4 linked regions of the Notamacropus eugenii genome follow. The protein of the gene in region 3 purifies or fractionates together with the protein of the main gene of each other region. This does not show direct contact. Links are inferred from orthologs where the notes say so. Each region holds a gene or a part of one and is shown on either strand. Other genes may lie near its edges. The genes, in order: LSM12, ATXN2, NUFIP2 and ATXN2L.

Region 1 (7,267 bases), about 310 Mb from region 3:
GAGAGAGATAGAGAGCTCCAATGGTACAAAGAACAGAACTGCGGAAGGAAGCAGATGGTCTGGAGATAAGAGGTAGAGGAAAAAGAGAATTGAGTAAGAAGTAGCTAGGTGTTGTAATGAATGTTGGGCTGGACTTCGAGTCAGAGTTCTATACAAATCCTGCCTCAGACACTCACTTGCTGTGTGACTCTGGACAAGTCACTTAATGCAGGTGGGCTTCTATTTCTTCATTTGGAAAATAGAGATAATAACAACCCCTACCTTCCAGGGTTGTTGTGAGGATCAAATGAGATGACACACTTACAGTAATCTGAAACCTTAAAGTGCTTATGAAGACTAGCTCTAAAAGGAAGGTTTCCAATGGCTATTGTGCTGGAACTCTGAAAAGTTTTCCTCCTCAAATTTTCCAGTGAAAGATACACCAGAAAACCCTGCCTTCTTTTTCCTCACATGGTTCACACTGATACAGGCAGAGGGAGAGAGATGGAGAGACCCAGACAGCCCTTCTTTCTCAACTTTTCTTAATCCTGCAGCATGCGTAACTTTTACTTGCCTCCTGCTTAACAATTTTGTTCACTTCTCTCCGAGGCTGGGAATGTGGCATCCTTTTGTGGGGTGATCTGGAGGAGAAGGCTGAATGCCCAGTTAGAGGCAGATCAACTCTCTCCTGTATCAAACCAGAAAAGGCAGATTGCACAGAGAGGGCCTTAAAAAAAACACCAACAGAGAATTTCTGGGATATCATTTATGGTGATACTTGACATCTTTTGTAGGGTTGTATCCCTTATCCCTAGTCTTTTCATGCTGAAGAAGGGAGGCAGGGCCTTCTACTTTGAAGGGGAAGTAGTTCTACTTAGGAGGCTCTCTTCTTTGTCTGGGAAGCACTTACTTGTGGGGGTGGGATGAGAACACAATAATGACTTAGAAAAAAGGAGTCCCTGGGTGGTAAGAGGTGGGGAGTGATTATGGGTATGTATGAAGCAGCTGTGGTTTAAATACCTACAGCTTGGGTTTAGGGATGACTATATTGGATCACGGGAGTGATGTGAGGGGTCAGTGTATGATATGACTACTGGTATCTTTCTATGTGTTTGTTGGCATGTCCTCAGGAGTGACAATCAGGGGTTAATGTATAGGGTGACAGTTGATGGTGGGGTGTGTCTATCTAGTGGATCGACAACCTAATTGGATGTCTTCTGGCATCTAAAACTCAATATAGTAAAATTAAAATAGCTCATTATACTTCCACCAACCTCACTCTTCTTTTGAATTTCTCTCTTTATATTCAGGGTACCACTCTTTTTCCAATCACCCAGCTGCATTTAGGTTTACTTCATATTTTATTTATTTCCCCTGGTAGAATATACCTGCCCTGACGGCAGGCACTATTTCATCTTTTTCTTTGTATCCTCTGCCCTTAGCATAGTGCTAGCCTTTAATACATTCCTGCTGACAACGGCCTGAGCTTTAAGTAGGGATGGCAAGGGGTTTTGTCTCACCACTTGGAGATGAGGTTGAGCCATTCTGAGAGCAGGGCGATCCAGAACACAGAAATGCCTACATGGCGACAAGCATAGTAGGCCATGGGGAAGTAGAAAAAAAAGATGCACTTGGGGTCACCGAGGAAGGTGACCCAGAGCCAGACGTCCTCCAGCCAGGGTAGCTGTCTCTGTAGAGTTTCCGCCACCACGATCCCCGCTCCCAGAGTGGACTCCATACCAGGAAGTCACAGGCCCTGGAGCCCTGACCTTGTGTTGACGGGGTAACGCTGCTTCTGAAGGGAAGAAAGCTGAGGGAGGCCAGAGGTAAGAGGAAGGCGCCTCCCACAGCCCCCACCATTTCCTTCCACCAGCATATCAAAGCAGTTCACATCCAGGGTACCACTAGCATCAGCCCTAGACGCACTTAGAGGTCTCTGCTCTCAGCTCCGCCCCCTCCGCCCTCGAAGCGACCCAGGCCCCGCCCCCTCTGCCCCAGAGCTCCCTAGATTCCGCCATCTCTTCGCCCGGCGCTAGGCCACGCCCTCTACGTCCTACAGCTCTCAGGCCCCGCCCCCTGGCCCCGAGCTTCCCTCCACGTCCCCCCCCACGTCAGTCATTCCACAAGCCTCGCCCCTGCTCTACCCGGGAAGCTCCCGCTTACCCCGCGCGGCCCCGCCTCTCGGTTTCCAGAGCACCTCAAACTCCGCCTCCAAGCCACGCGCGCGCTCCCCAGACCGCACCCCTGTCCGAGCTCGACCGCATGCCCTCTTTCTCCGGTCCCTTGCCCCGTGCTGCCCCCTCCCCCAGGGCCACAAGCTCGAGCTTTGCCCTCCAAGTAACGTTTTTCCTCCCTACCTCCCGGGTTTGTACCTCTCGCTAGGTCTTCCTTCTACGGGTCAGCGTAGGGGACAAACCTCTCGCGAGGGCGTTTTCCCCCAGACCCACGTGTCCCCAGTTCGCGTCCAGTCCGCAGCGGACGTGGGGCGGTGGCTACTTCTGCGGTCCTGGGTCAGAGGGTAGCAGGCAGGCTTTGAAGCTTGATGCTTGATGTTTGAGGAGGATGATAGCTAGTTCTCCAAGTGAGGTTTCTTTCTGCTGCCTTGTCTTATTGATAGAAAGATCCGTGGTCTCGTCAGGGCATAGGGACAGGGAAGTTCAAGGACATAACCATAGCATCCCAGGTGTGTTGTGAAAGGGGACAGCAATTTCACACACACACCTCTCTCTCTTTCTCTCTCTCTCAGGGGCGGGATGGGGGATAGAGGAGGAAAGAGTTTAATTTTTAAAATTCTAAAATTCATGTCCCCGAAGTCTATCTACCATGTAATCCAGGGAATCCAGTAGGGTTGTTTTTGTATGTAAGTATGTGTGAGTGAGAACTAGATTGAAACCGTGTTCAGTGCCCACCCATGAGGCCAACAGTTTACTAGGATTTGGAGTAACTGGAGAAAGAAATTTATGGAAACTAGAGATGATCATGTTTTTGATGAGGTCTAGGTCACAGGGTATTGTGAGGGGGGAGGCTAAGATTAGGATAAAACTTCCTAAAGCCATTTCTAGCCTGAGACATCTTTGCCCTTGGTTAGTTTTGTTGGGAGGAAAGGAAGAAATGAGCGTGGAAAAGTGGATGCCATTCAATGAAGAAACAGCAAATTTAGATAGTGAAATGATAAAGATAGCTCAATTATAAAGTGAAGTTGATACATGTTGTGGTTTGGGGTGCTGGGAACATGGAAATGCAAAGGTACAGGGGGTCTGGAAAGAATTCGACCACTCTAGCCTTTTTTCAGTCAAAATATTGAGGTTTATTTGTGTTGCCAATCTGGCTAGATTCTAAGTGAATCTTCGGTAGCCAATGGGAGTGAGCAGGATTCCTAGTGAATCTGCAACTTAATGGCAGTGAGACTGAAGCCTACCTACAAAAAGCATGGTGAAAGCATCTGGATGGGATTAAGAAGTGGTAAATAGCCAGGGGTGGTCTAGGTGCTATAGTGAAAGGAGTATTAAGTAGTCTGGGGTGGGCCTAGATTGACAGTGAAAGCCCTGTCAAACTAATTAAGTGATGGAGGTGGGCTGGGGTGGGCCAGTTACCTAGGGCAGAGGCACTGCTGACATGTATGGGAAAATTCAGGGACGGGGCTGCTTTCAAAGATATGGTCTTTTCCTTTTAGGGGTCCAGGTCCCATCAATAAATACATAATTTATATTGTGAAATGATAAAAGCTAATTTATGTAGTTAAAAAGGTAGCTGGAGTGCAGGTATGTTGACACGAGCATGATTAGAATATCTGGTTTCTAGTCTCACAAGTAGATATTGTCCACTAATATGTTGTAACCTCTTAAATTTACCTTCTTCCAGGATGGAGTGAAAATAAAATGAAGTGATATATGTGAAAAGACTACAAAAGATACTTTGTATAATCAGGTAGTATTACTTTTGATTTCACCAAGGTGTTGCAGAAGTCAGGGAGCCTTGTGCCCCTTGCTTGGCAAGAGCAATGCTTTTCCTTTCTTTTTTCTTATTAAGGACTGGAACATGTTCTTTTCTACTGACTCTGATCCAAATGAGTTTATCAGAGATTCAGGGTCAACAAAGGCAAAATCATCCCTCTAACCCATACCTCTAAACTTCTCGGTCTTTGACCTAGGATTGGATCAGCTTGAGATTCAGTCTAAAACTAAAAGAGGTCAAATGTCAAAATTTATAGGATGTGATAGGAAATGACAGTTACTAGGGTCTTGGGTCAATTCACTGCCAGCTAAACTGTTCAAGATACTAAGTCCTAACCATAAAAAGCTAAGAAATTAAAGTCTCTATCCTAAAGGAGTATATTCGTTTAATTGTATTATTTCTGCCTTAGCAGCCTTTGTCTGTTGCTTTGTTTTTCCTCTTTAACTCTGAGAGAGAACAAATGTGTGGAGTAAAAGTTATTTTCTGGGGAAGTTTAAACACAACTCTGTGTCTTAGATTGATATTTCTTTGGGGAAAATACAAAAAACCCAAACAAAACTAAAAACCGCAAAACAAAATAAAACTGAATCCAACTGGAGGGTCTCCCTTAAATTTAGGCAAGTTGTGTGTGTTAGGGGGAGGAAGGCTGGAGAAATGGATGAAGACCATCAGCTCAGTGGAGAGGATCAGATTTCACTTAGAGGAGGACACCTTTCCGGGGTTTGCACCTCCTCGTTTCTTTTGGGCCAGACTTTTGATCCCTCTCTCCCTAACTCATCCTGGCTGCCTGGTTCCTCCTCCCTTCTCTTTTCTCTCTCTCCCGCACTTCGGAGCCCCTCCCTCCCAGTTTGTCCTCTAGCCCCGCCCCCGGTATGCTGACGCCATCGCGCCGCGCGTGCGTGCCGGCGCACTGAGGGGGCCGGCCTCGCCGCTGCCCCGCCGCCCGCCGCTGCTCTCCCAAGATGGCGGCTCCTCCGGGCGAGTACTTCAGCGTTGGGAGCCAGGTTTCATGCCGAACGTGCCAAGAGCAGCGGCTGCAGGGCGAAGTGGTAGCCTTTGACTACCAGTCCAAGATGCTGGCGCTCAGTATCCTTCTCATCGAGGGCTGGCTGGCACTCCAGGCCTGACTGGCACGGGTGGGGGGGCGGCGGCGGCTGGGGCCGGGCCGGGCCGGGCCGGGTCCGGGGCCTAAGGGGCGACCGGCGACCGCGGCGCCAAGGACGCATGCGCGTGGTCAAGCCTAGTTCCTTCTTCCCCTCCTTCTGCCGCCCCCTTCCACTCCCCATTGGGGTCTCAGTTTCCTCGCGGGAGCCGGGCCTTGACGAAGGAAGGCAGAGGAGGTGGGCGGAGGGGGTTCGACACGCGGGTGGCTGTTCTGGCTGAATCCCTTAGTGAGGGGTCACTGTTTGAGGAAAGGGCTAGTGGAAGGAAGGGAGGGGCTGTAGGGTAGGGTCTGCAGTCCCCAGATGAAAGAGGGGGCCGTGGTCACGTGGGGGAGGGGGTGTGTAGGTTAGGGGTAGGTGCTTGTACCCGAAGGTAAGAGGCTCCTGAATTTGTAGAGGTTGTGTGTGTGTTTTACCTCATGGAAAGAGGCATGGGCACAGAAAATGAAACTAGGGGCCAAGGTGGGTATTCTCTGAGGATCCCCTGATGATGAAGTTTATAGGTGATCGCTGGAAAGAGACTTCAGTTACTGTTTTGTGTGTTTCTTCTTGGGGGGGGGGGGTTTGTTGGAGGCTGATATTCTAGCCGGAAAATTTCTATTTTGGGGGTGTACTCATTGAGTATCCCAGACAAAGAATAACCAAGTTTGATTCTGGGGGAGGGGTACTGATAATAAGCAGAGATGGGGGTGGGAATAATAAGAGTAATAGCTAACACTTAAAGTGATCTTAAGTTTTAAAGTGTTTTATAGGTATTTTATTTGATCCTCACAACAGCTTTGTGAGGTAAGGTAGATTCTGTTAGCCCCATTTCATAGCTGATGAAACTGAGGCTGAAGTTTAAGTGACTTGTTACACTGTTGCATAGCTAGTAAGTGACTGAATTAGACTATGACTGTGACGGGTCTTTCTGATCCTAAGCCTGGCACACTGTCTGCTGTGCCATCTACTCATGTCTAAAATGTCTAGTTTGTTTAAGGTATGGGAATTCTATTTTTTTTCTTAGGAGTGGTTCTGTCTGCAATTGTTTCAGTGATCATTTTTTGATACTTCCAGAGTGAAAGTGCATATTAAGTCTTACTGAGCCTGCTTTTCTGAAGTGGCAGACATTTAAATTCCAAATAACAATCAAACAAAAGATACCCACTTGTTTCACAGTTCTAGTATAGGAAAGTGATTTTTGAGACAACTTTCAACAGCATAGTCAACTTTTTCTAGATGCTGCAGCAGAATAGGACCTGTAAAATGAGTAACCCAGTAATCTCAGCAATCTCAACCCAGTAAAAGGATTTCTGGGATACAAGTCTGACTGATTGATGGTAGTAGTTCTAGTTTCAAGTCTACCATTAACTGTATTCTGTAAATGATTTTTTCTTTTGTAATTTCCATTGCATTTAGTAGAATATTATGTATGCCATAGATGCCCAATGAATTCTTGTCAAGTGAATGAACTGCTGGGATTACCTTGGACAGGCCAATTGCTCATCTTCAAGGTGGGGATAATACCTCCCTTTTATCTTCAACCTGATGATGAAATAAGTGGTGACATGGTGAGAAAGTACCTTGCAAAAATAAAAAATACTTTATAAACACAATGGTTATTATGCTAGAAACTACATGGGAATAAAAACTGTAAGGTATGGTGTCTTATAATTTAAAGACAAATGAGTACCCATGTTGCATAAAAGTTACATGAATTTCTATGCCAAGAACTAGCAGGAAAAAAGTGATAACATCTCGGGGATCCCAATTTTGCTCCTGTTTGTAGAGCCTGAAATCCTTTAGTTTCTGGGGTGAAGCAGGGGAAGAATGAGGTTTTGAGATTCCTTACTTCTTACTATGTTTCTTGTGAGGCCTCTTTACCACTTGCTTTTGGTGTGCATTTTCCTTAAGCCTTTCTTGAATCATGTTTTTCAGTCCCATCAGGATTTGTTGATGACTTTGGTTGCTTGTTTTCCTTAACTTTATTCTCTCTCTAGAATGTCCCTCTTCCAGTGGAAAGCCTAACCATGCAGACATCCTGCTTATAAATCTACAATTTGTCTCGGAAATTGAAATAATTAATGACCGCACAGAAACCCCTCCTCCCCTAGCTTCTCTCAATGTTAGCAAGGTAAGAATGATAGACCAAGTCTGGCTTAGAATAATGTTGGGAAGGTCTGGGTCTTAGA
Region 2 (7,396 bases), on a different chromosome or scaffold from region 3:
ACTTCCATTAAGGGAGATCCAGCTATTTTTATCTCCTCATTTCCAAATCCTACTCACTTCCCTATTGCCTGTGCCTCCCTCTCATGATAAACTAAGTGCTACTGGTCAAATGTCAAAACATTCTAAGTTTTTGGAGGGGGCAGCAGAGCAATATGGTGGCCTTACAATAATCTTGTGAGGCGGTTGTGCAAATTTTACTCTTCCTGTATTAGAAATGAGGAAACTGGGACTTAGAAGGTTAAATTACTTGCTTTCAAAGACACAGCCAGTAAGTATCAGGGCTAGGATTTGAACACAGGCCTCTGCCGACTTGAAGGCCACTGCTCTTTCCATTGTAGTGTACAGGAATACCTCATCTTATTGTGTTTTGTTTTTTTTCGCTTTGTAGATAGTGCAGTTTTTTTAAAACAAATTGATGGTTTGTGAGAACCCTGTGTTCTATTGGCACCATTGTCCCAACAGCATGTGTTCACATCTTGTCTCTGTGTCACATTTTGGTAATTCTCACAATATTTCAAACTTTTTCATTATTATTATATTTCTTATTGTGATCTGCCATCAGTGATCTTTAATGTTACACTTGTAACATGCCCATAAGTTGTTGAACATAGTTGATGAATGTCGTGTGTGTATGTGTGTGTGCGTGTGTGTGTTATGACTGCTCCCCTGACCACCTGTTCTGTCTCTCTCCTCCTATTCTTTGAGACACACCAATATTGAAATTAGGCTGATTAACAACCTCTAAGTAAGTGAAAGGAAGAGTCCATCGATGCCCCCAGCTTCATGGCTGTCTTATTTTAAGAAATTGCCACAGCTACCCCAACCTTCAGCAACCACCACCCTGATCAGTCAGCAGCTTGTCAACATCGAGGCAAGACTCTCTACAAGCAAAAAGAAAAAGACTCGATGAAGGCTCAGATAATGAATATCATTTTTTAGCAATAAAGTATTTTTTCGTTAAGGTATTTACATTTTTTAGACATAATACTATCAAACACTTAAGACTTCAGTGTAGTGTAAACATAACTTTTACATGAACTGGCAAAACAACAAAATTCATGTGACTGGCTTTATTTCGGTGGTCTGGAGCTGGACTTGAAATATCCCTGAGGTATGCCTCACATCTCTGTGGTCATCTATAACTGTAAAACCCATGGGCCTAGCTAATCAAGCCTAGTTGGTCTTCAGGCGCTGAAACATTCCAATACTGGAAGGTAAAGTTATCTCTTCAAAACTGATTTGTAAGCATTAAGGTCTTATATAAGTATGAGTCATTATTATTAATATTAGCTAAATGGGCAAGACATAGAAATCTGTAAAGTGAGGGGGTTAGATTATATGATTCTATAACATGTGACTTCAATACCATGGGAAACCCTGACATTCCTGCCCCTCAAGTTTCCCTTCCTGGATAAATTCAATTTCCTTTGACTGGTGGGAAAGTCATTTTCTCCATTAACGCTGAGGAGAGGCACGTGGACATCTAGTCAGAAGACTCCAAGGGATCAATGATGAGGCATCTTCTGAGGTTTTTTTTAAAAGGTAAAAAAATATGAAACACAGACTTATCACGTAGTGCCTTAAGATTTGCAAAGCATTTCTCTCACATAGCACTGATAGAGACTGTAATTTTTTTTGGCCTAGAATGACTCCAGTGCTTAGTACAGGCCTTGTCACATAGTAGGTGCAAAATAAATGCTTACTGACTGACAATAAAAATAATGTATTTATGGACTGGCATCCATAAAAAACGTGGACGTTCAGGAGCTCACATCATAGTGCATGAAACAGCGATGCATATATACTGAGTAAGATTAGTAAATTCATAAATTATATCTTAGGAAGAGTTGCCTAGACACTGAGAAATTGTGTCTTACCCAGGTCCACACTGCTGGGATGGGTTATGAATAGGATTTAAATTAGACTCTACTTAGGAGTAGCCTTAGTTCTTGTTCTCTCTTCTGAATTGAGCAACATTTATTGAGTACCTACTATGGTCCGGATACTTTGTGGACACCAATGTAAAAAAAAGTTCCTGCCTTCAAGAAATTTATTTTCTATTGCGAGACAAATCTTTTTTTTTAATTTAACATTTTATTTTTCCCCTAATTACACGTAAAAACAATTTTTAACAATTATTAACATTTTTTTAAATTCCAAATCCTCTCCTTTCTTCTCCTTCCCCCCCCCCAAATTGAGAAGGCAAGGAATTTGATATAGGTTATACATGTGCAGTCACATAAAACATATTTCCATGTAAGTATGTTATGAAAGAAAACTTTGTGCTTTGTGCTTTGATCTGCATTCCGACTCCTTCAGTTCTTTCTCTGGAGAGGTGGATAGCATTTCTCGTTGCAAATCCTTCAGAATTGTCTTGGATCACTGTATTGTTCAGAATAATTGTCATTCACAGCTGATCATCACACAATATTGCTGTTAATATACATAATGTTCTCCAGGTTCTGCTCATTTCACTTTGTATTGGTTCATTGAAGTCTTTCTGGGTTTTTCTCAGAGCATTTCTTACAGCACAAAAGTATTCAGTCACAATCATATACAACAATTTGTTCAGCCATTCCCCAATTGAAGGGGATCCCTTCAATTTTTAATTCTTGCCACCAATGAAAGAGCTGCTATAAATATTTTTGTACATATAGGTTCTTTTCCTTTCTCTGTTTTTTCTTTTGGGATACAGATCTACCAGTGGAATATCTTGGTCAAGGGGTATACATGATTTTACAGCCCTTTCGACATAATTCCAAATTGCTCTACGGAACGGCTGGATCCGTATACCACTTCAACAACAGTGGGACACAAATCTTACACTTTAACCCCTCTACACACTTTGTGATCAAAACCACATTGGCCTAGATGTTCCACTACAGGACAATCCATTCCTGGCTCCGCTGACCTGCACCTTGCTTCCTTCAAGACTTAGCTCAAATCTTGCTGTTTTCAGAGAGGCCTTTCCGCTTGTGCCTTTCCCCCTGGATTACTTTTCATGTACATATCTTGTATGTACTAAGTTATTTGGGGTAGCTAGGTGGCAAAGTGGATAGAATGCTGGGCCTTGAGTCTGGAAGACCCCTCTTTCAGAGTTCAAGTCTGGCCTCAGATACTTCCTAGCTGTGTGACCTTGGTCATCACTTCACCTGGTTTGCCTCAGTTTCCTCATCTGTAAAATGAGCTGGAGAAGGAACCAGCAAAACCGCTTCAGTATCTTTGCCAAGAAAAACCCAGATGGCAGCGCAAAGAGTTGGACACAAATGAACAGCAAAACCTTTCATGTTTGTCACCCCCGTTAGATTGGTAAGCTCCTTGTGGGCAGAGACTAAAACTTCGCCTTCTGCTAGATGCCCTTCCTTCATAACCACTCTTAATGCCAGTGACTATCTCCAACTGATCCTGCATCTGTCTTGTTTGTACATAGCTGTGTCTCCCTCTGTAAACTCCATGAGGGCAAGGACTCTTTTATCTTCTTTGTGCCCTGTGCCTGGCACGGTGCCTGGCACACAGTAGATGCTTAACGAACGTTTGGCGGCTGGTATTTTGTACCCTTAGCACTAGGGTTCGATTAATAAATGTTCAGACGTTCTTTGGACCCCAGCTCTTAGAAAGGGCCTGGCACAGGGTAGGCACTTCCTAAACTTGATGACGGACCTTCTTCGGACCAGCAGGCGCTGACTCAGGAGGCCTGGCCCCCGCGGCCCCCTGCGGAGAGGGGCGCAGCCCCACGGGGATGCTCCTAGTTATTACACTGGAGGGCAGCCAGGGGTACAAGGACTCAAGGACTCGCTATCTCTCGGGGTGACCTTGGCCAGGGGCTGCCTTTCTCCTTAACTGGAATACGGAATATAGGCTTGGCCTCCAGGTCTTCACCTGGGTTTCCCCTTGGGGTCCCCCGCTTCTCCCTCCCGTCAGGATTCTCCCTCCTCAGACGGGTGGCCTGTAACCCCCAGCCCGGGCTCGGGGTCGGGCGGCGAGAGTCCGGCCCCTTCCCTGAGCTCGGGCTCGCGTCCGAGAGGCGGGGCCTGTTACGGCCCCGCCCCCTCTGGCACCGCCCCTTCTGAGACTGCCGGCCGGTCCGCGGGAGCCCCACGTGCGGCCCTCCAGCTCTTGCTTCAGCTCCGGCCGCAGTGCCGTCTCACGCTCCCCTTCCTGTCCGGCCCCTCCGACTTCCGGAAAAGAATCCCCTCCGTCCGACCTCCCTGGACCACTCCCCACACCTGCTTTCGGGGAACATCCCCTCCTCCGCTCTTTCCTCCTATAGTGTGACCGGCCTTTGGGTTCAGGAGAGGGGTGTCTCCTTTTGAGGGTCGGCAGACAAGGGAGCGAGCAAGCGCGCGCGGTCGGAGGAGGTATCCTTCCGCCGCCGCTTGTTCCCAGGCGTCCCCCGCGTTCCGTTCGCGGCAGGTCCCCTCCGGGCCCCCGTCCCCCTCCCCCCTCCCGGCCGGTCCTTCCCTCCTCCCTCCTCCCTCCGCCCGCCTTAGACTGTTTTGGTAGCAACGGCGGCGGCGGCTCCCGGCAACTCGGTGTCGTCGGTCGGTCGGGCGGCCTTCCCCGCCCCCGACCCTCCCCACCCCGCCCCCTCCCTTCCCTCGGGCTCGGGCTCGCGGCCGCCGGCTCCTCCTCCTCGGTCTCGACCTCGGCCTCGGCCTCCTCCTGCTCCGCGGCCCCGGCCTCGCTTCTCGTCAGGCGCCCGGGCCCGGCTCGGCCCTCGGTGTATGGGCAGGTCAGCAGCATGTCCCTGAAGCCGCAGCCCCCCCAGCAGCCGCCGCAGCCTCCGCAGCCTCAGCCTCCGCAGCAACCGCAGCCGCCGCCGGCCCCGGCGCTGCCCCCGGCCCAGGCCCAGGCCCAGCCCCCGGCTCAGGCCCAGCCCCCCGCGCCCGGAGCCCTGGCGGCGGCGCCCGGGGGCGCCCGCAAGCCCGGCGGCCTCACGTCCTCGGCCTCCTCGACCTCGGCCTCCTCATCGTCGGCGGCCGGTGGCGGCGCCGGTGGAGGGCGGCAGAACCTGGGCAGGTGGGTGCGGGGGACCCCCGGCGGGCTGGGGAGGGGGGCATCCCTGGGCGGGCGGGGGGGATGGGCCGGGCCCGCGGGGTAGCGGGAGCCGCAGGAGGAGGGGGCGGCCGGGACCCGGCCGTCCTGCCCCGCAGTGGGGGAGGGGGACCGGTCACCTCGAAAACGCCCCGCGGCCGCACGGGCCGCAGCTCCTTGCCGTCGTGGCCCCGCGGCCCGAGCCTCCCAAGGGCACCGGGGCCCCTGGGTGGCGCCTGGTCATCCCGGGCCTACTGTCCCGACCGAACCTTTGGGAGACGTGTTGGCCTGGCCGCGAAGGGAGAGGGCCCCGGGGTGGGTCGGCCCGGCCCTGGCTCAGCTCGGAAAGCCAGACGGGCCCCTGGGTGGCCGAGGGACTGCAGTGGGCTCTCTTTTCCTTGGCCCTACCCAGTTATCTCTTTAACCCTTCCGGGGGAAAAAAGGACAAACCTTGAGCCCTTCGATGTTTGGGGAGCTCCGTTTAAAGGGAGGTTTACCCCGTTATTGAAACAAGAAAGCCAGTCCAAATGAATGAGGCCGTAGCTATTCCGAGGGTGATTGTGAACGCTTTTTAAACTTCGGGAAAGTCGGGCGCAGGTATTTAAAAGTTTCCAAATACTATCCAAATAGCAGACATTTCCTTATATCCCTTCCTAGGTAGCCGATTAAAAATCAGTCTGCTGCATTAGGGGGGTCGGTCTGGCGGAATATTTATAAACAGACCGGGTGGGAGAGTGGGGAGAGCCCCCGTGCCCGCGTCAGGACGTGGCCTGTGGGGGCTTGGACCAGATGACCTCAAAGCTGGCGTCCAGCTCCAGGGTTCTGTTAGGTCGCCGGTCTGACGGCCTGGGTGAAGTGGGAGGGCCACAGGGGTGGGGTGAAGGGGAGGGGGGGACCAGCGGAGTGCCACGGATTCCTTCCTACGGTCGGGAGGTTTTCTCTTAGCAGAGTTTAATGCTGTTTCCCCCACTAGGGCCTTTGTCGTAAGAGCCTTCGTTTGGCCCCTCATTGCTGTAAGCTAGTTTTTGATTTCTCCTTGCTTAAGAGTCCTTCGGTCCCCATCCTTTCAAGAACTGCATAAGATTTCTTTTGGAACATGTTGTCCCGGGGTTTGTATCATGTGAATTTATATCCTTGCTGCCGACCTCTTATTAATACTTTTAGAATCACCTTCACTTTCAGTATTATCTGAGTCCTTTTGTGAGGCTAGAAATAAAATCAAATTTCCTAGGGCTGTTTGGCTACCCCTATTTCATCTGAGTTGGAGATAAAAGTGGGTAAGACTGCACCGTAGTGAAAAAGATCACCAAAGTTTGACCTTTATGCATAGTAAGTAAAAAGACAAAGTGCAACATTAGTACATTATAGTGTTTTCTGTGAAAATGAGAACCTCATTTTCAGAAAAAAGGTTTTTTTGTTTTTAATTAAAACGGCTTTAATTTCTACTGTAGTTTGTTTCTTCACAGCACAATATGCTATGCACACAGTAGACTCTTAAATGTCCCTTTTATTGTTGTCTGAGACTCCTGTTCTGCTGACTACAGTTGTGCACATAAAAGGTGGCCTCTCTTTAGTGTGAATTTTGAGTAGTTTGCAGAATCCCTTAGGGGGTAATTTCAAAACAGAAAAATACAATCAGAATGATTATTTGAGTACTTACTGATACGTTCAGAATTAAGTGCTTTTGCCTATTATCCGGTTCCATATTTTTTTTTAATTAAAATTTTGATGCCTTTTGTGTTTCCATCAGTCGTTTCCCACATTTAATCTTTGCCTCCCCCTCATCACCCCCTTTCTATGTTGCTAAGAACCAAAGGACACAGTAACTACTTGTTACGGGATATTCAGCATTCTGCAGTCTGAGTCTCCCACCTTCAGGGGAATCAGTTAGTATTGCTCAGCACCTGCTGTGAGCCACGCTCTGGGGATATGAAGAAGGTGAAAGCCAGCCCCTGCTCTTACGGTTCTCAGTCAGATGGAGACTACAAGCAAGTAGCTGTGTACAAACAAGATGTATGCAGGGTAAATTGGAGATGATCTCCAGAGGGAAGACGTGGTGATTAAGGAGGTCTGCAAAAGACTTTTTGCAGAAGTTGAGACTTTCAGCTGAGGATGGGAAGCCAGGAGGTGGATGTGAGGAAGAGCATTCCAGGCATGGGGGATAGCCAGGGAAAATGCTCATAGTCTGTAGATTGGGGAGTAGAGGGGGGTGTCCTGAAAGGAGCAGCCAGGAGGCTGCTGCCACTGGATCTCAGTTCTGTGGAGTGGAATCAGGCATAAGAAAAATGAAAAAGTAGGAGTCGTTCTGCATGTAGAGGGATTTAAAAACCAAATAGAATTTTATATTTAGTCCTGGAGACAT
Region 3 (7,143 bases):
CCTAGATGGACACTAATGGGATGCCCAGAGTGAACTGGAGCTAAAAGATGCTATTTGTTCTGGTTAACCTGATTCCATGCAAGAGATTGTTCTGATGCCAATCATCCCTTTCAGGGATTACGGACCATGGAGACAAGGCGGGGCTGGCTGCCATCTGCGAGTCATGGCCCCACTAGGCAGGATGATTAGGTTCAATGGGGACTTTCTTGAGCTGTATTCTTCTAGACTTGGAATTGGAGAGAGACAAACCTGGTAGTATGAATCTGAAGCTTAGCACACAGGACACAGTGCTTTGGATTGAGAACTGTACTCTTCCCCCAGATCACTTGAGACCATTACCTCATCCATTTTCATAGCATTTTTGGGCAGACCTTTCTGCAGATGGGGACACTGAAGTGCAGACTGACGTAAAGCGAGCTTGCCAAGGGTAGAGTTAACTATGTTAATTCTGTGTGGCCAGGTCACAGATAGAAAAGAGGCAAAGGAATTTTGACCTTTGACATAATTTTTGTACTGGGCACCACACCCTATTAGTTAACCATGTCTGTGTAGTTTGGTCTGATTTAAAATATAAAGTCGTTGAAGGAAAAGGAGGGTCCACAGAATAGAAAAATGATGGACTTAGAGATGGTGGCCTTGGGTCCAAATCCTCACTCAGCCACTTAAGTGCTGCCGATTTTGGGTAATTATTTCTTCGTGTCTCACTGGCCCTCTCTGTAACATGAAGGTTAGGGTTAGGTGACCTCTAAGGTTCCTTCTTGCTCTAAACTGTTAATTCTCTATCTTTTTGGACCGGACTTGGGATTTCATGGGTGCAGGGAGCTGCTGGGAAGAAACTCCCTGCTCCCAATGGAGATCTGTATTCTCTTCATAGCTTGTGGTCTTGGAGAGTCACCTGGGACACAGAGAAGGTAAATGGTTTGTCTGTGGTCAACCTGCCAGTATGTATTAGAGGCAAGACTTGAACCCAGGTCTCCACTACTGGAGGTTAATCTCTATATTATTTTCATTGTTCTTCATTTTTTTCCAATTTGGCCTTTGTACTGGAGGAGGCTTTGTAGACATCTTACTGTCAATTGCTAAAAATGGTAGATCAAATGCTATCAATGTGGGTGCATGTCCCAGCAAAGTCATTCAGAGAAGGATGAAGGGCAGCTCAGTTTGACAGAACTCTGGAATTCAGGAGTTCATCAAGTGTGGGTCACAATTAGTGCCCTTGGCATATACTGTCTGTTAGTTAAACCCCAGAAAACACCGTCATTTGATTGAGCTCAATGGAGGCCGATTTGGCTTTTTATTCCTGACAAGATGATACTCCAAAGGCCAGATGCCTGAATCGAAACCTTTCATATCCAGAAAGTCATCTTATTCTACTTGCTGAAAGACTAACCTGAGCTCTCCTTATCTCCATCTAGTCACTCCAAAAGTCTTTTTGAAGCTTGTATCTCCAGGGAAAAATTCTGAGATCTAAAAGAAAAAAAAATGAATGAAAATTTTTTTTCTGTAATGGAATGAAACACTAGATATTTCACATTGGAAATCCTGTAATTCTGGGTGCTCTGTGACTTGCCTGATTTTGAAGTTGGAATCACCATCAGAGGTAGGTCTGATTTCCACATAAATACATTTGGACAAGGCCTTTTTTTCTCTCTAGATTATAGTTTGTGGAAAGTGAAAGTTAGTTATTACAGCTATAAAACTGGACTCTGCATTGCCAACTCCTCTGATGCTATGTGATTTCACAACAAAGAGAAGAAGCTCTGGGATGAAAGATTATTATTCCCAGAGCATTAGAACCAAGAGGGACCCCACGAAACAGAGGCCTTGAGAGGGCAAATTATTTGCCAACCAATGGAACATGAGGCATTTCTCATTAAATGTAGCAGCTTCTCCTACGTCTTTTGAGACTGAATCATAAGAGTATAAATACAAGGTGAAGGATGTATGAAAAATTATATTTTAATTTTATAACTAAAATTTTAAGGTACATTTCTGGAACCACAGAACTTGTGTGCATTTTAAAGATTTCATGAAATATTAGAACCATCGTGACTAACATTAAAAATAATAATAAATGCTTTTTCTTAGCAAAGCTCGTTCGTCTCTTAATTTTGCTGAGACCACTTACGAGCTGCAATTCTTTTCAAGTTTAGGAGTAACACAAGATGATTTGTCTAAGGCAACAGACACCCACAGCAAGAGAGAGGAAAAAAGTGTTACACCTCATCCTTGGTCTCCAGGAAGGAGAAAAAGGTTTTGGGTTTTTTTTTTTAAATGTTAAGCAGGAAATCTCAATTTCTCTTTTTAGTGTGCTATACTGCTTGCCAGATTTTAGAAACCACAAGGTAAATTAACATCTGAAAGCTATACTCATCTATTAATAAAACTGCTTTTAAATATCAGAGAGGATCTCTGAATGAAATTTTGATTTTTTTTAACCTCTTAAATCACGATAGAAGAATAAAGATCTGGGAAAAAGCTGGTGGCTTTGGGGTCACTGAGGTAGATAGAGTCACAGTACTTGAGAAGTCCTTTTATTAAAGGCATGCGGCTCCAATTTTAATAAAGAAACCCAAAAGTCAAAATGATTGACAACTGGGACAGAAGAGAAAGCACATAGGATATGCGAGGTCAGGGTATCGAAGGAATAAGTTTGGAGTTTCTCGAGTCAGGTCAACGCTGGTTTACTAACTCGTTGGAATATCAAATTCCACCCCCTTTCCCCACTTTTTTTTCCTTCTCAAAGAGCAGTAACCAGACATGACATCATTATCAGTTGAACATTGCTCATTTATAGGCAGCTTCAGGGCAAAGTATATTAAGTGGGGGGAATATATTAACTTTAATTATTTTGGGGAGCCAAGGATATAGAGTTGTCATTATAAGAGACACTGCTCTTCCCTTCAAGACAGCTTTCAGACAGGACAGAGTTCAGATATACCTACTAATTAGCTATTATGAGTGGAAAATAAATAAATGCCATCCATTTCCTGATCTCTTAAAAGTATGCTGATTCAGTATCACTGGTCACATCACATATTTAAGGAATTCAAGAGCATCCAACCTAGAATCCAGGGGGGACCCGAGTTCAAACACATGCTTAGACACTCACTAGCTATATGACCCTGGGTATGTCATTTAACTTCTCGAGTGTGCCTCAATGTCCTCATTTGTAATATCGGGATAATAATAGCACCTACCTCCCAAAGTTGTTGTGAGGATAAAACGAGATGTCTGTCAAACACTTTGCTGACCTTAAAGCGCTTTATAAATACTAGCTATTAATCCCTTAGTTGGAATACATATTGGACAAAATGGGAAAGGGCCTTAGAAAAAGTCATGCGATGTTTTTGTTTGGACGGAACTTGACCTGAAAACGTCCTAAGTATTACCAAGGTCGAGTAAACTTGGTTTGAAAGCGCTTCAGAAGAAGCCAGGAGAAGTACAGCCGAGGAGTTCCTAGACCTGGCGGCTCTGGCACGGCCGGCCCTGCGGGCACAGGACAGCAGCTCTCTCCTCCGGTCCAGGTAGCTCACTGGAAGCGAGGTAACAGGTTTGGGAAGTTCGGAGAGGAAGGCCCGCGGAAGGGAGTCCCACGGCTTTCCCAAAGCCCCCGGGGAAGTGACCTGGGAGCAGGTGGAACTCCTGGCAATCTCGTGTCTCAGGTCTGAGTCAAAGACTCGGAGGGCAGAGGTATCCCAGCCCCGCAGCGGTCTGTGAGCGGAGGGGGAAGCGAGCGCCCAGCTCGTGTGTTGGGCGGCAGCTGCAGTCCCCAACCCGGGCTTTGGATAGGTTTGGGTTCCCCGTGTTCATCTGGAAACGACCGGCCTGTGCGCGGAAACCTGTTGCTGTCTGACCCGGGAGCAGGTCTGACCTAATCCTGCGGAGAACTCATAAAAGGGAATTACAGGACTGACATCACATTTGCTTTTATAATCACATGTTGTTATGTAATAAACACGGGATTATTTTAATTGACACTCTAGGACCCGGCGCAATCCTCTTATTTCACCCTCATTTCTGTAAAGCGTGAGAAGCCCAGCTCGCCCAGCCGGCCAAGGGGATAAAGAGTATCCCCTCCTCGCTCCCCCGGCCCCTCGGGCACAAGCCCCCCACGACCCCCTCCCCAGACAAACGCCTCCCCCGCCCCGAACCCGGGGATCCGGAGGGAGACTTTCTGGCGAAGTTGGCGGGGCCTGCCCCCGGCTCTCGCGGGGAGGGTCTCCGGTCCCCAGGGCGTGGGGCCGGGGCGCGGCACGTGCCCCGAGGGCGGAAGGGGCCCAGGACCCCCGGCAGCCGCGGACTCCGGAACGACCGGCGTTTAAAAACAACCGGTGGCGCGGCCCCAGACTCCCGCGGCTCCGCCGGCCCGGCCCCGGAACGGGCGGGCGGGAGGCCCGTGGAATCTGCCGCTCCGGACGCGAGCTAGCTGCGGGGGCAGGCGTGTGGAAAGTGCTGCTGGCGGACGGCGCCGAGCCCCGGGCCGAGGCCCCGACGGCGCAGAGCCATAGTGCTGACGTTGGAGGCCCAGCCCTGTGAGGTTGCGCCGGGTAAGTGGCGCTCGGCCGGGGAGGGCCCGCCGAGAGGGCGGGGGAAGGGGAGGAGCGGGCCCGGGGGCGGGGCCTGCGGGCCGGCTCGGGCCGCCGATTGCTGGAGGGCGGCTGCCAATCTCCGAGAATCCCCCAGTCAGCCGGGGCCCTGGCGAGAGCCACTCAGATGTACGGTGTGTGCCCGGAGAGCAGCCCGAGACGGTCTGGAGACGGTGCAGCAGCCCGCAGCCCCAGCCAGGGAGTCCCCGCCGCTTTCAATGGAGGAGAAGCCCGGCCAGCCCCAGCCTCAGCCCCCGCCGCCGCCGCCGCAGTCCCAGCAGCCGCCCCAGCACAGCAGCAGCAGCCACAGCCACCACCACCCCCCGCACCACCACCACCCCCAGCAGCCGCCCCAGGCAGCGCCGGCGCCGCCGCCGCACCACCACCACCACCACCATTATTACTACTACAACCACAACCACCACCACCACCACCAGCACCACCAGCAGCCGCACCAGTACCTGCAGCACGGGCCCGACGGCAGCAGCCCCAAGGCCCAGCCCAAGCCGCTGAGACATGAGCCCAAGCACGCCCTGCAGCCGCACCAGGAAGCGCCCAAGAAGAAAACAGGTCCGGGAGCGCGGGGGGTGCGGGGCCGGGAGGGGGCCCGGGGTCACGGGGCTCGGGGACACCCTCCCGCGCCGCTGCTCCCGCCCCTGCTTCCGCCCGCCGGCCGGCGTGACCTTCCCGGGCCCCCGTCCGCCCGGCTCGGGCCCGCTGCCCTTCCACGCGGGGCGGGCGCTGCCGGGCCAGGCCGGGGCCGGGCCGAGGCCTCCCCTCCCCCGCATCCCCCGGCGCCGCCCGGCCCCGGCCCACCTGTGGACCCGGCGGGGCTGAGCCGGGAGGTGGGGGCGGGGGGCGCGGCGGGGCCGAGGCCTGGACCAGCCGTCCCTTTATCGGCCTCGTCCTCGCCGCCCCGCCCGCCCTGTCCCCTCGCTGTCCGGGCCGGGGCCGGGGCCGGCGCGGCTGGAATGTTCTCCGCTCGTCGCGGGGCCGCTTCCTGTCCGCCATGTTGGGAGCCGATTCCTGTCACAGGCCCCGGGGCCCTGCGGGGGGGGGGGCCCGCGAGCCCGGCGCGTGCCCCGCCCCCCCTTCCCTCCCCCAACCCCCGGCCTGGCCGCGGCCCGGCCCGGCCTCGCTCCCCCGGCGGCGGCCCAGCACCGGGAGCGGTTGGGGGTCGGGCCACGCGGGGAGCGGCGGCCGCGCGGCCTCCAGCCCTGCCCGGTCCGGCTCCGCCCGCGGCCTCCCTCCTCGCCAGGGGCGGTGGTTGGCCGGCCGGCCGGGCGGGAGGGGGAGGTAAGGCGGGCCGGCGGCCCGGGAGGGGCGGTGGCCGGGGCGGGGGGGGGCAGCCACGCCACACCACGCTGAGTGTTCTCGGGGGAGCGGGCCTGCGCCGCCGGCTGTTACAACGCCCGGCCCGGGGCCGCAGGGCCGAGCGAGGCCCCGCCACCGTCCCCTCCCTTTCCCCTGGCGGGCCGGGCCCCCGGCGTGCCGGCCGCGTGGAGACGGGGCCCCGGCCCCCGCCCGAGGAGAGCAGTTTGGGGGCGTTATTTTCTTAAAGCCCCCCAGGATCGTGGCCGAGCGGCCTTCCGTGGATGGCCGGGTCAGGGGGAAGGGGAGACTTTTGGGGGCCAATGTGAACCTCCGAATCCGGTGTCCGGGCTTGGGCGCAGGCCTTGGGGCGAGCGGGGGCAACTTTTCCCGGATGTTTGAGCCTTAAGTCCGGTCTGCCCCCGCTCCTGCCGCGCGGCTTCTGCCCTTGTGGGCTCTGGGGTTGAGACGGGGCCCGTCGTGGGCCGGGGAGGGGGCGCGGGACGCGGGCCCCGGGGTTTCCCTGAAAGTGCTTTGGGGGGGGAGTTTAATCCCGAAGGTCGGAGGCCGCCGAGCCCCTGGTAATAACGGAGCTAATGGCCCTCGGCGTCTGCGGGAGCAGCCGCTCGGGGAAGCCGCCGCGCTTGTTAGCGTTCGGTCTCCCGAGGAGCGGCCGCGCTCTGGGTCGACCCGGCCCGGCCGTCGTCCCTCCTGGCGGCCTCGTCCTCACGCTCCCCCCGGCGTGATGCCCCCGGGCCGCGCTTCCGAGAGGCCACCGGGAGCTCCCGAGGGGCGCCGCGCCCCCCACCTCGCCGAGCCTGGCAGGAGTGCTCGTGGTGAAACTTTGCCAGGTGGTGCCCGCACGTTGGCGAGGACTGGAGGAAGCTGGGCCCCCCAGCCGGGAGGAGAGGCCGCTCTCGGGCGGCTGCCCGCTAGGGGGCGCCCGAGGGAGGCCGCCCGGAGCCAGTGCGAGCCTGCGTCCGCAGCCGCCGGCCCTTTCCAGAACCCAGTAGAACTGGAGTCCGTTTTAAAATGGAGTTTTGTGCCCGGACAGCTGCCGGGCCTCGGGAGAAGCCGGCCGCGGAGGGTGCTTGGACGTGATGCTCGGCTGGCTGTTCTCCTGCAGTTTATGACTTGTGGGGGCTTTAAGCCTTTAAGCGCAGTCTCGTTAGCCTAGTGGGTCCTGGAGTGAGAGAAACGGTAGAAGGCCGTAAGTTAGGCCACAGCGCGGGGCTTGTCCGAA
Region 4 (6,906 bases), on a different chromosome or scaffold from region 3:
TTTCATCTCTTGATATTCTGATGATGTTAACAGAGCAGCTTATTTGGGGGTAGAGGTGGCATGGGGGAACAGATGTCAGTTTGAGTTTTAGAACAAAATAGGTAGAATGCCTGATAATGTGCTCTCATTCTTAACACTTCCTGAAAGAGAAAAAAAATAAGAAAACATGTTGCTTAGTGTGCAAAGGATTCAACCAGTTGAGCCGTAGGGCAGGGAAGCTGGTACATCCTTTGAGAAAAGGGTAGAAGGCTATGCAAAAAAAGAAAATTAGAACTGAACTTATAAAACCCTGGCACATAGGTTGCAGGGAAGGTTTCATGGAGAAAAGTTAAAATATTTTTCATTGACTTTAGGTAGCTGGAACAGCCTAGTGTCTTCCTTTTTTAGGTCAGAGATTGAGGGATTTGGGGACTGAATGTAATTATTGAAGGATAACCTTAGGAAATGTCCCCAGTTCATGGAAATTCAGTACACAGTAATTAACACAAGGTTTTGAACCTAGCCACTATTTATATCACCTGACGTGAAGGAGATGGTTCAATTATTTTACATGAATTTTGAGGTTCGTTCTGGCACTCACCTGCCTGATTGCTTCAGATAACATTTGTTTATAACTTGGTATGAATGGTAGGGTTTTGCCAAACAGTAATCCATACATACATAAGTTTAAACCTGTTCACCTGATTTATACATGGGTGCTCAGTAAGTATAATGAGAGTGATTTATCTCACCACCTTCCCTGGGGCTCTGAGTAATATTCCTTTCATGCCATTCATGAAATGCACATTCAAGAAATGTTTGTTAGCTAGAATGAAGGAGGCGTGAAGGGGGAAAGACAAGTTTAGAGGCCTTTCTTCCTAACCCAGTGTTCACAGGTGAGTGGAAAGGGACTTCAGAGATCATACTCCAACAAGAATACTGCCTTACAGATTGTCATCCAGTATTTGTGTGATGACATCGAAAAGGAAGAGTCCACCACCTCCTGAGGCAGACAGATCATTTTACAGGCTCTCACAACCTTGACTGGAAAGTTTTCTTATATCAGGCATAAATTTGCCTCTGCACCTTGCATCCACTGCTTTTAGTGCTGTCCAGTCCTTCCACATGACCCCTGTCCCATCAAGGGTACTTCAGGTCACATCTACCTGTCTTCTCCTGATTATACCTCCCCAGCTCTTTCAGCCAATCCACATAACATGATCTTAAAGATGAATGTCCAGACATAAACACAGTACTCCAGATGTCCTGCCCATGCCTGTTCCTGGCTACTCTGCCTCTCACTACAGTTTCAGAGATCATTAGGGGTTTTTTTTGTTTGTCATATCCCAGAGTTGATCCATATTGAGCTTGCAATTTACTAAAGCACCTAGATCTTTTTCAGAACAATTGCTGGCTAACTCTGCCTTCTCTATCTTGCACTTGAGAATTCGATATTTTTAACCCAACTATGAATCTTTATACTTATCCCTATTAAATATCTTAGGATTAGATCGGGATTCTTCAGTTTTTTGCATTGTAGACCCAGACTCCTTTGGCATTCTGGTGAAGCCTATGTATGGACCCCCTCCTCAGAATGTTTTTAAATGGATAAAATAAGATTACAAAGGAAACCAATTAAAATTAAAAAAATTTTTAAATTTACAAAACCCAATAAAAAGTTAAGAATTACCATATCATATTTAACCCAGTATTCTAACCTAATAATTTTTTTTGTTTCTTGAGCCCTAGAAGCTATCACTCTCTACTTTGTCATATGCAAATTCAGTAAGCATGGTATCTATGCCTTTATCCAAATCACTGATAAAAATATTAAACAGCACAGCTCTCTGGGACACTTGATTACACCTTCTTCCAAGGTAACACTGAACCATTAATGGCTACTCTTTGGGTGTAGTTATTCGGCTAGTCCTGAATCCACCCAACTAAATATCATCATCTCATATTTCTTTGCATTGTCCGCAAGAATGCCACAATATACATTTTCATATATTTTGCTAAAATCGGGTAAACTATGTGCATGATATACCCCTTATTTTTACAAGTCTAATTATGCCATCAGAAAAAGAAATGTTTAGTTTGGTATTACCTATTCTCAGTGACACCATGCTGACACTTGGAGTTATTGCTTTTTTTTTTTTTTTACCAACTAGATTTTGCTAGGAAGTAAAACAGAATTTATTGGCCTATGTTTTTCAGATTTCCATTCTGCTGAATGTCTGGATATCTGCCCGTTTTCAATCTTTGTAGCACCTCTGCCAATCACCTTGTCTGTCTGGACCTCACTTTCCTCATCTGTATGTGTGTGTGGAGTGGAGGTGGATTTAGATGACCTTTAAAGCCTCTTCCAGCTCTAATCTGATTAACCTAAAATGTCTAATTGCAGATCCAAATTGTTTTAGAAAAATCTGAATGGAGATTGTTACTGAATTGGCTGGCTCCTAAAATGTTTCCAGTTCTCTTATCTCTGGATGTGACTGTTGCCTCCATATGTAACTATCCGGAGAAGGCACATTTGTGTATATATTGTTGCCTTCCTTCCTGTGGTCACTCTTCCTTCTAGCTTTCAAGGTTAGGACACTTAAAAATACGCACACACACGCACACATATATAGATATATGTATATGAAGTTGTAAAATATTTTGTAAACCTTAGTTATTATTACCCCACTACCTTAAACCCTTTGGAAGAAAAATGCTAAAAACTGTGTACATAAATACTTCTTTTTAAGTACTACCATTCCTTCACTCTTCTTGATCCTCTCTCATTCCATAAAGATGGGCCTTAGACTTTAAATGAAGGGATTGGCCTAGATCATCTCTTCCAGTGCTCCTCCTAAACCTAAGGAATCACCCATTTGTAGCCAACATACTTGTGGTTCCTGTTCATCTCCTGAGCACATTGCCTTCATTTCTCCGGTATGGGAGAGTTTAGTCTTCCAATTTTACCAAGAAAAGATGGAGAAGACAGTAATAGAGCATAGGAAACTGGCAGGCTTCATTTTAAATGAGAGCCTGCACGACATCTTCACCCAAAGCCTCCTCCCAACCTGCGGGACTTTGATGACTTGACCGGTGGGTCTTGTTCCATCAGTTGGGGAAAAGCATGACTCGAAACAAAGATGTAGAAAATTGTTCTTCTAACAGATCCAAACCACCTATTAACCAGTAACTTCAAGAGACAACCTCACCCCCCTTTTTTCCATTAGAGCTGTTAATAAAGGAACACAACTTTTTAAAAAATAGTTTATCTTCCTGAATGTATCCGAGACACCTACTAACGTAGTTAGTTGTTAACGATAATAAGCAGGTCGAAGGGACGGGAAGCAAAAGTCTAAATAAATTCTCCGTGGGCTAACAAACAAACGTAGGCTCCTTACTGCAGAGGAAACGTCAATGCCACCCGCTCCCTCCGGGCCTTTTTGCCTTCAAACCGATCCCTGTACGAGTCCCGGTAAGGCGGAAGGATAAGGGATTGCACGGCAGTACTGTGACGTTGCACATGCGGCGCTGGCTGTACTAGGTAGGAGAATCGCACATGCGCAGTGGTTACCTATAGCTGGTCTCCTTTCTTGCCCCTCCCCCAGTACTTCACACGCTCATTGTCAAGCGACGGCGGCGAGCGGGCGGTCACGGGGCGCGCCAGAGACTCCGATACCTCGCGCGCGTGCGCCTTTAGCTCTCTTCAACATTCCCCCTCCCCCACCCCCATCTCCCATTCCCTACTCTGAGTCTTCCCAGTGTACTAGGAACGCAAAATTCACCTTTCTTTGCTACCCCTTTTCGCTTAACCTAGAGCTAACCGTCTAGGTGTGAGCGCGTCTCCTCGGTCCCTCGCTCCCGGGGGCTTGCGTACGCGCGCGCACTCTCTCTTAACTCCCCCTCCCCCGCCTCATACTGTTTCTTTCGCGCACGCGCGCCGGCTCGCGCCCTCTCTCTCGCTTTCCTCAAGCCCGCGAGATCCCCCCTTCCGCCTCGCGGCGCCTTCTCGCGCCGCCGCCTCCTTGTATCCCTCACACACCGGCCCCCCCACCCGCTAACGGCGGCGCCCCCTCTTCCCAACCCCCTTCACTCCTCGCGCGCTCGGGCGGGCCCGGCCTCAGCCCAGTCCTGCCCCCCCCAACTCCCCTTCCGGACGCCGCCACCATGTTGAAGCCGCAGCCGCCTCAGCCATCTCAGCCCCAGCAGACACCCATCCAGCAACCGGCACCAGCACGCCGGCCTCCCGGGGGGACCAGCCCCCCCAACGGAAACCTCGGGGGGACCCCAGCCTCCGCCTCGGCCCCGGGGCCGCCCACTGCCGCTTCCCCAGGCCTAGGGCCTCCTGCCGGAGGCAGTGGGCTCCGCCGGGGAGCTGAGGGGGTTCTGCCGCCACAGCCGCCAACACATCAGCATCAGGAGCGGCCCGGGGGCGCTGCTACTGGCAGTACCAGGTGAAGAGGGGCTGGACGAGGGGGGATGACGGGACGTGGGACGGCCGAGGGCCCCCTGCTTGTTGGTAAACGTCTGTCTGCCATCAAGGAAGGGGCGGGAAGGAAAGCCCGCGGAGTCCCTTGACCCGGCCACTTTCGGAGGGAGACAGTGGCCAGGGTTGGGCGGTGGGCTGCCGTTGTGCCGGGGGCAGCAACGCTGAGGGTCCCCGGTCCAACTTTCCGGAGGGGTTCGGCGGGGGCTCTTGGGTTTAGCCAATGGGGATGAAAGAGGAAGCGGCGTGTGCCCCTACGGTCTGGCCAATAGAGGAGATGGGGTCCCTGAGTCGAACCAATGCAGGGTGGGGGGATCCTTCATTTCATCCCATTGTGGAAGTGGGGTTCCTAAGTCGGGCTAAATGGTGGGGCAGGATGGGGGAAGGGGCGGCCCTTTGGCCAACCAGCAGGTTGCTCAGCAGAAGGGAGCCTAGCCCTAGGGGGCTCGACTAGGTGGGAATTCTTTGCCTTGTGTAGACCGGGAAGGGTAGACTGGGCAGGATGGAATGCCCCCCATCCCCGGCCTCGGAGGAGCGAGCGAGAGTGTGTGTCTGTGTCAGTGTCCGTATCGAAGGGGGTGCATCAATGGCGGGGGCGGGGGGAGGAGGAGAGGAGGGAGGTAAAGGTGAGTAGGGTCCCCGGCTCAATTGATGTGAAGGGTCTCGCGGTCCCAAAGCTCAGCCAATGGGTGGGAAGAGGCGGGAAGGGGTCCCTAGCTATAGCCAATGGGGGGGCGTGGAGTCCATAGTTGGGCCAATGGGCAGAGAAGAAATAGGCTGCGCCTTCCCCCCGCCCCCCCCAAGGAGGGAACTGCAGACCCTGTATAACCCCCTGTGCGCGCGCGCACCCCAGTACGTGCGCGTGGAGAAGGTGCCGTCTTATGACAGGGTGTTAGGACGGCGCTCCTGGCGGCTCCGTGAGGATAGCTGTAGCCGGCGCGGTCTAGTCCAATATTCTGCGGTCTGTTTCTAAGGTCAGGGCGGGGGTGGGAGCTCGGCGGACCGCACATCTCTCGTGGAGCTTATTGAGGCTGTACGCAGGCGCTCTGGGGGCAGGAAGGCGAGCGAGCGTGAAGGAAGCCTGAGGGCTGTAGTGCGCAAGCGCTGAATGGGTGAGGCCTCCCTGTGGATAGCGTCTGCGTCTGCGCGGTCCCCTCACCCCGCCAAACGGCCCCCCCTCCCCCCAACGGCCAGTTACATCAGCCTGTGAGGACCCTGGTATCCGCGGCGGTTAGTTCTCCCCAGAATGGGTAATGGGGCTTTTCGTGTAGGGGTGGAGACAGTTGTCTTCCGTGGGCGAGCTCGGGGGCTTGCTAGAGGTGCCTTTGGCACTCTGGGGTGATGGCTTTAGATTGGCCAGTCCTAGATGGGCTCCATGTGCTTCCTTGTTCTTGTGGGTGTTGTAAACCCTGAGCCCCGTCCCCTTGCCTTGGGAGAGCTGCGGGAAGGTTGCCTCTTAATCTCGTCTCACAGAATGGTTTGGACAGAGAGCTAGGCCGTGGGCTTTGAAATGAAAATAATGCATCTCGCTCCTCCAGTTCTTTGCCTTTTTAAGATGTGGACAAGCCTGAAGGCTGTACTGGTTTATAGACTTTCATTGCTCTGTGCCTGATGAGGCCCAGGGACGTCTCTTATCCAGCCTTTCTTTACTCCTGTAAAAGATGTGGACCTTTCTTTTTTTGTTGTATGTTGAGTTAGACGTTCCTGACCCCTTTGTAGATGGGAGTGTAGGAGGGAATTGGGCAGACTTGAATAACTAAAAGTGTCCTTGTTGTTTTCTCTTATAGGGGACAGAGCACAGGAAAGGGGCCCCCACCGTCACCTGTGAGTGCCTTTCCAGTAGTTAAATTCAGGGATGTAAAAGGGTGAAGTGGGAACCACTGGGGAATCGGGCAAAAGAAATGTCAGAAAGGTAGAAGTTTAGGATACCTGATAAGCGTCTTCCCTTTACTCATTAATTTGTCATCTCCGTGTTATTTTCAGGTATTTGAGGGTGTCTACAATAACTCTAGGATGCTACACTTCCTTACTGCTGTTGTGGTATGTACCTGTCTTCTAAAGTAGTTTGGTGGGGTCTTAAATAAGTGTAATGTGAAGTCTTTAATTGTTGCTCTTTCTGCCAGGGCTCCACTTGTGATGTAAAGGTGAAAAATGGTACCACATATGAAGGTATTTTCAAGACTCTGAGTTCAAAGGTAAGTGTATTCATCAACCTGGCTTGGAAGTTAGAACCAGCTGGAAAGGGTGGTATGTGGGAGATGCAGTGCCGTCAGTCTTAAAGATCGTCGTAAAAACTCTGCCATTCTGTACAGATGTTCCTAGCCTAGCATTGCTTGCTATAATTGTTTTATATTTCATCATAATAAGCGCTGTAGCTTTGAAAAAATATTGATGGCTGGGCAGGTGTGCGTTTGTACGTTATCTCTAGCCTGATTTCTTTTCAT

Evidence for each region.
Region 1: the proteins of NUFIP2 (region 3) and LSM12 purify together in Homo sapiens (affinity purification with mass spectrometry; 3 studies listed by BioGRID and IntAct, counting the BioPlex papers as one, with this or other methods). This does not show direct contact. The link is inferred for Notamacropus eugenii from reciprocal best matches to the Homo sapiens genes NUFIP2 and LSM12.
Region 2: the proteins of NUFIP2 (region 3) and ATXN2 purify together in Homo sapiens (affinity purification with mass spectrometry; 3 studies listed by BioGRID and IntAct, counting the BioPlex papers as one, with this or other methods). This does not show direct contact. The link is inferred for Notamacropus eugenii from reciprocal best matches to the Homo sapiens genes NUFIP2 and ATXN2.
Region 4: the proteins of NUFIP2 (region 3) and ATXN2L purify together in Homo sapiens (affinity purification with mass spectrometry; 4 studies listed by BioGRID and IntAct, counting the BioPlex papers as one, with this or other methods). This does not show direct contact. The link is inferred for Notamacropus eugenii from reciprocal best matches to the Homo sapiens genes NUFIP2 and ATXN2L.

The regions. Positions count from the first base shown.
Region 1 is NC_092873.1:349,979,175-349,986,441, forward strand, and holds the start of LSM12 (protein LSM12), read left to right. Parts: upstream 1-4,258; 5' UTR 4,259-4,895; coding exon 4,896-5,019; intron 5,020-7,075; coding exon 7,076-7,209; intron 7,210-7,267. Other genes in the region: G6PC3 (glucose-6-phosphatase 3), read right to left, coding at 1,500-1,717. UniProt on the Homo sapiens protein: Nicotinic acid adenine dinucleotide phosphate (NAADP) binding protein. Confers NAADP sensitivity to the two pore channel complex (TPCs) by acting as TPC accessory protein necessary for NAADP-evoked Ca(2+) release.
Region 2 is NC_092875.1:34,609,108-34,616,503, forward strand, and holds the start of ATXN2 (ataxin-2), read left to right. Parts: upstream 1-4,389; 5' UTR 4,390-4,741; coding exon 4,742-5,019; intron 5,020-7,396. UniProt on the Homo sapiens protein: Involved in EGFR trafficking, acting as negative regulator of endocytic EGFR internalization at the plasma membrane.
Region 3 is NC_092873.1:36,771,085-36,778,227, reverse strand, and holds the start of NUFIP2 (FMR1-interacting protein NUFIP2), read left to right. Parts: upstream 1-4,129; 5' UTR 4,130-4,807; coding exon 4,808-5,159; intron 5,160-7,143. UniProt on the Homo sapiens protein: Binds RNA.
Region 4 is NC_092872.1:46,614,944-46,621,849, reverse strand, and holds the start of ATXN2L (ataxin-2-like protein), read left to right. Parts: upstream 1-3,902; 5' UTR 3,903-4,143; coding exon 4,144-4,430; intron 4,431-5,320; exon of another isoform or gene 5,321-5,692; intron 5,693-6,249; coding exon 6,250-6,286; intron 6,287-6,445; coding exon 6,446-6,502; intron 6,503-6,585; coding exon 6,586-6,657; intron 6,658-6,906. UniProt on the Homo sapiens protein: Involved in the regulation of stress granule and P-body formation.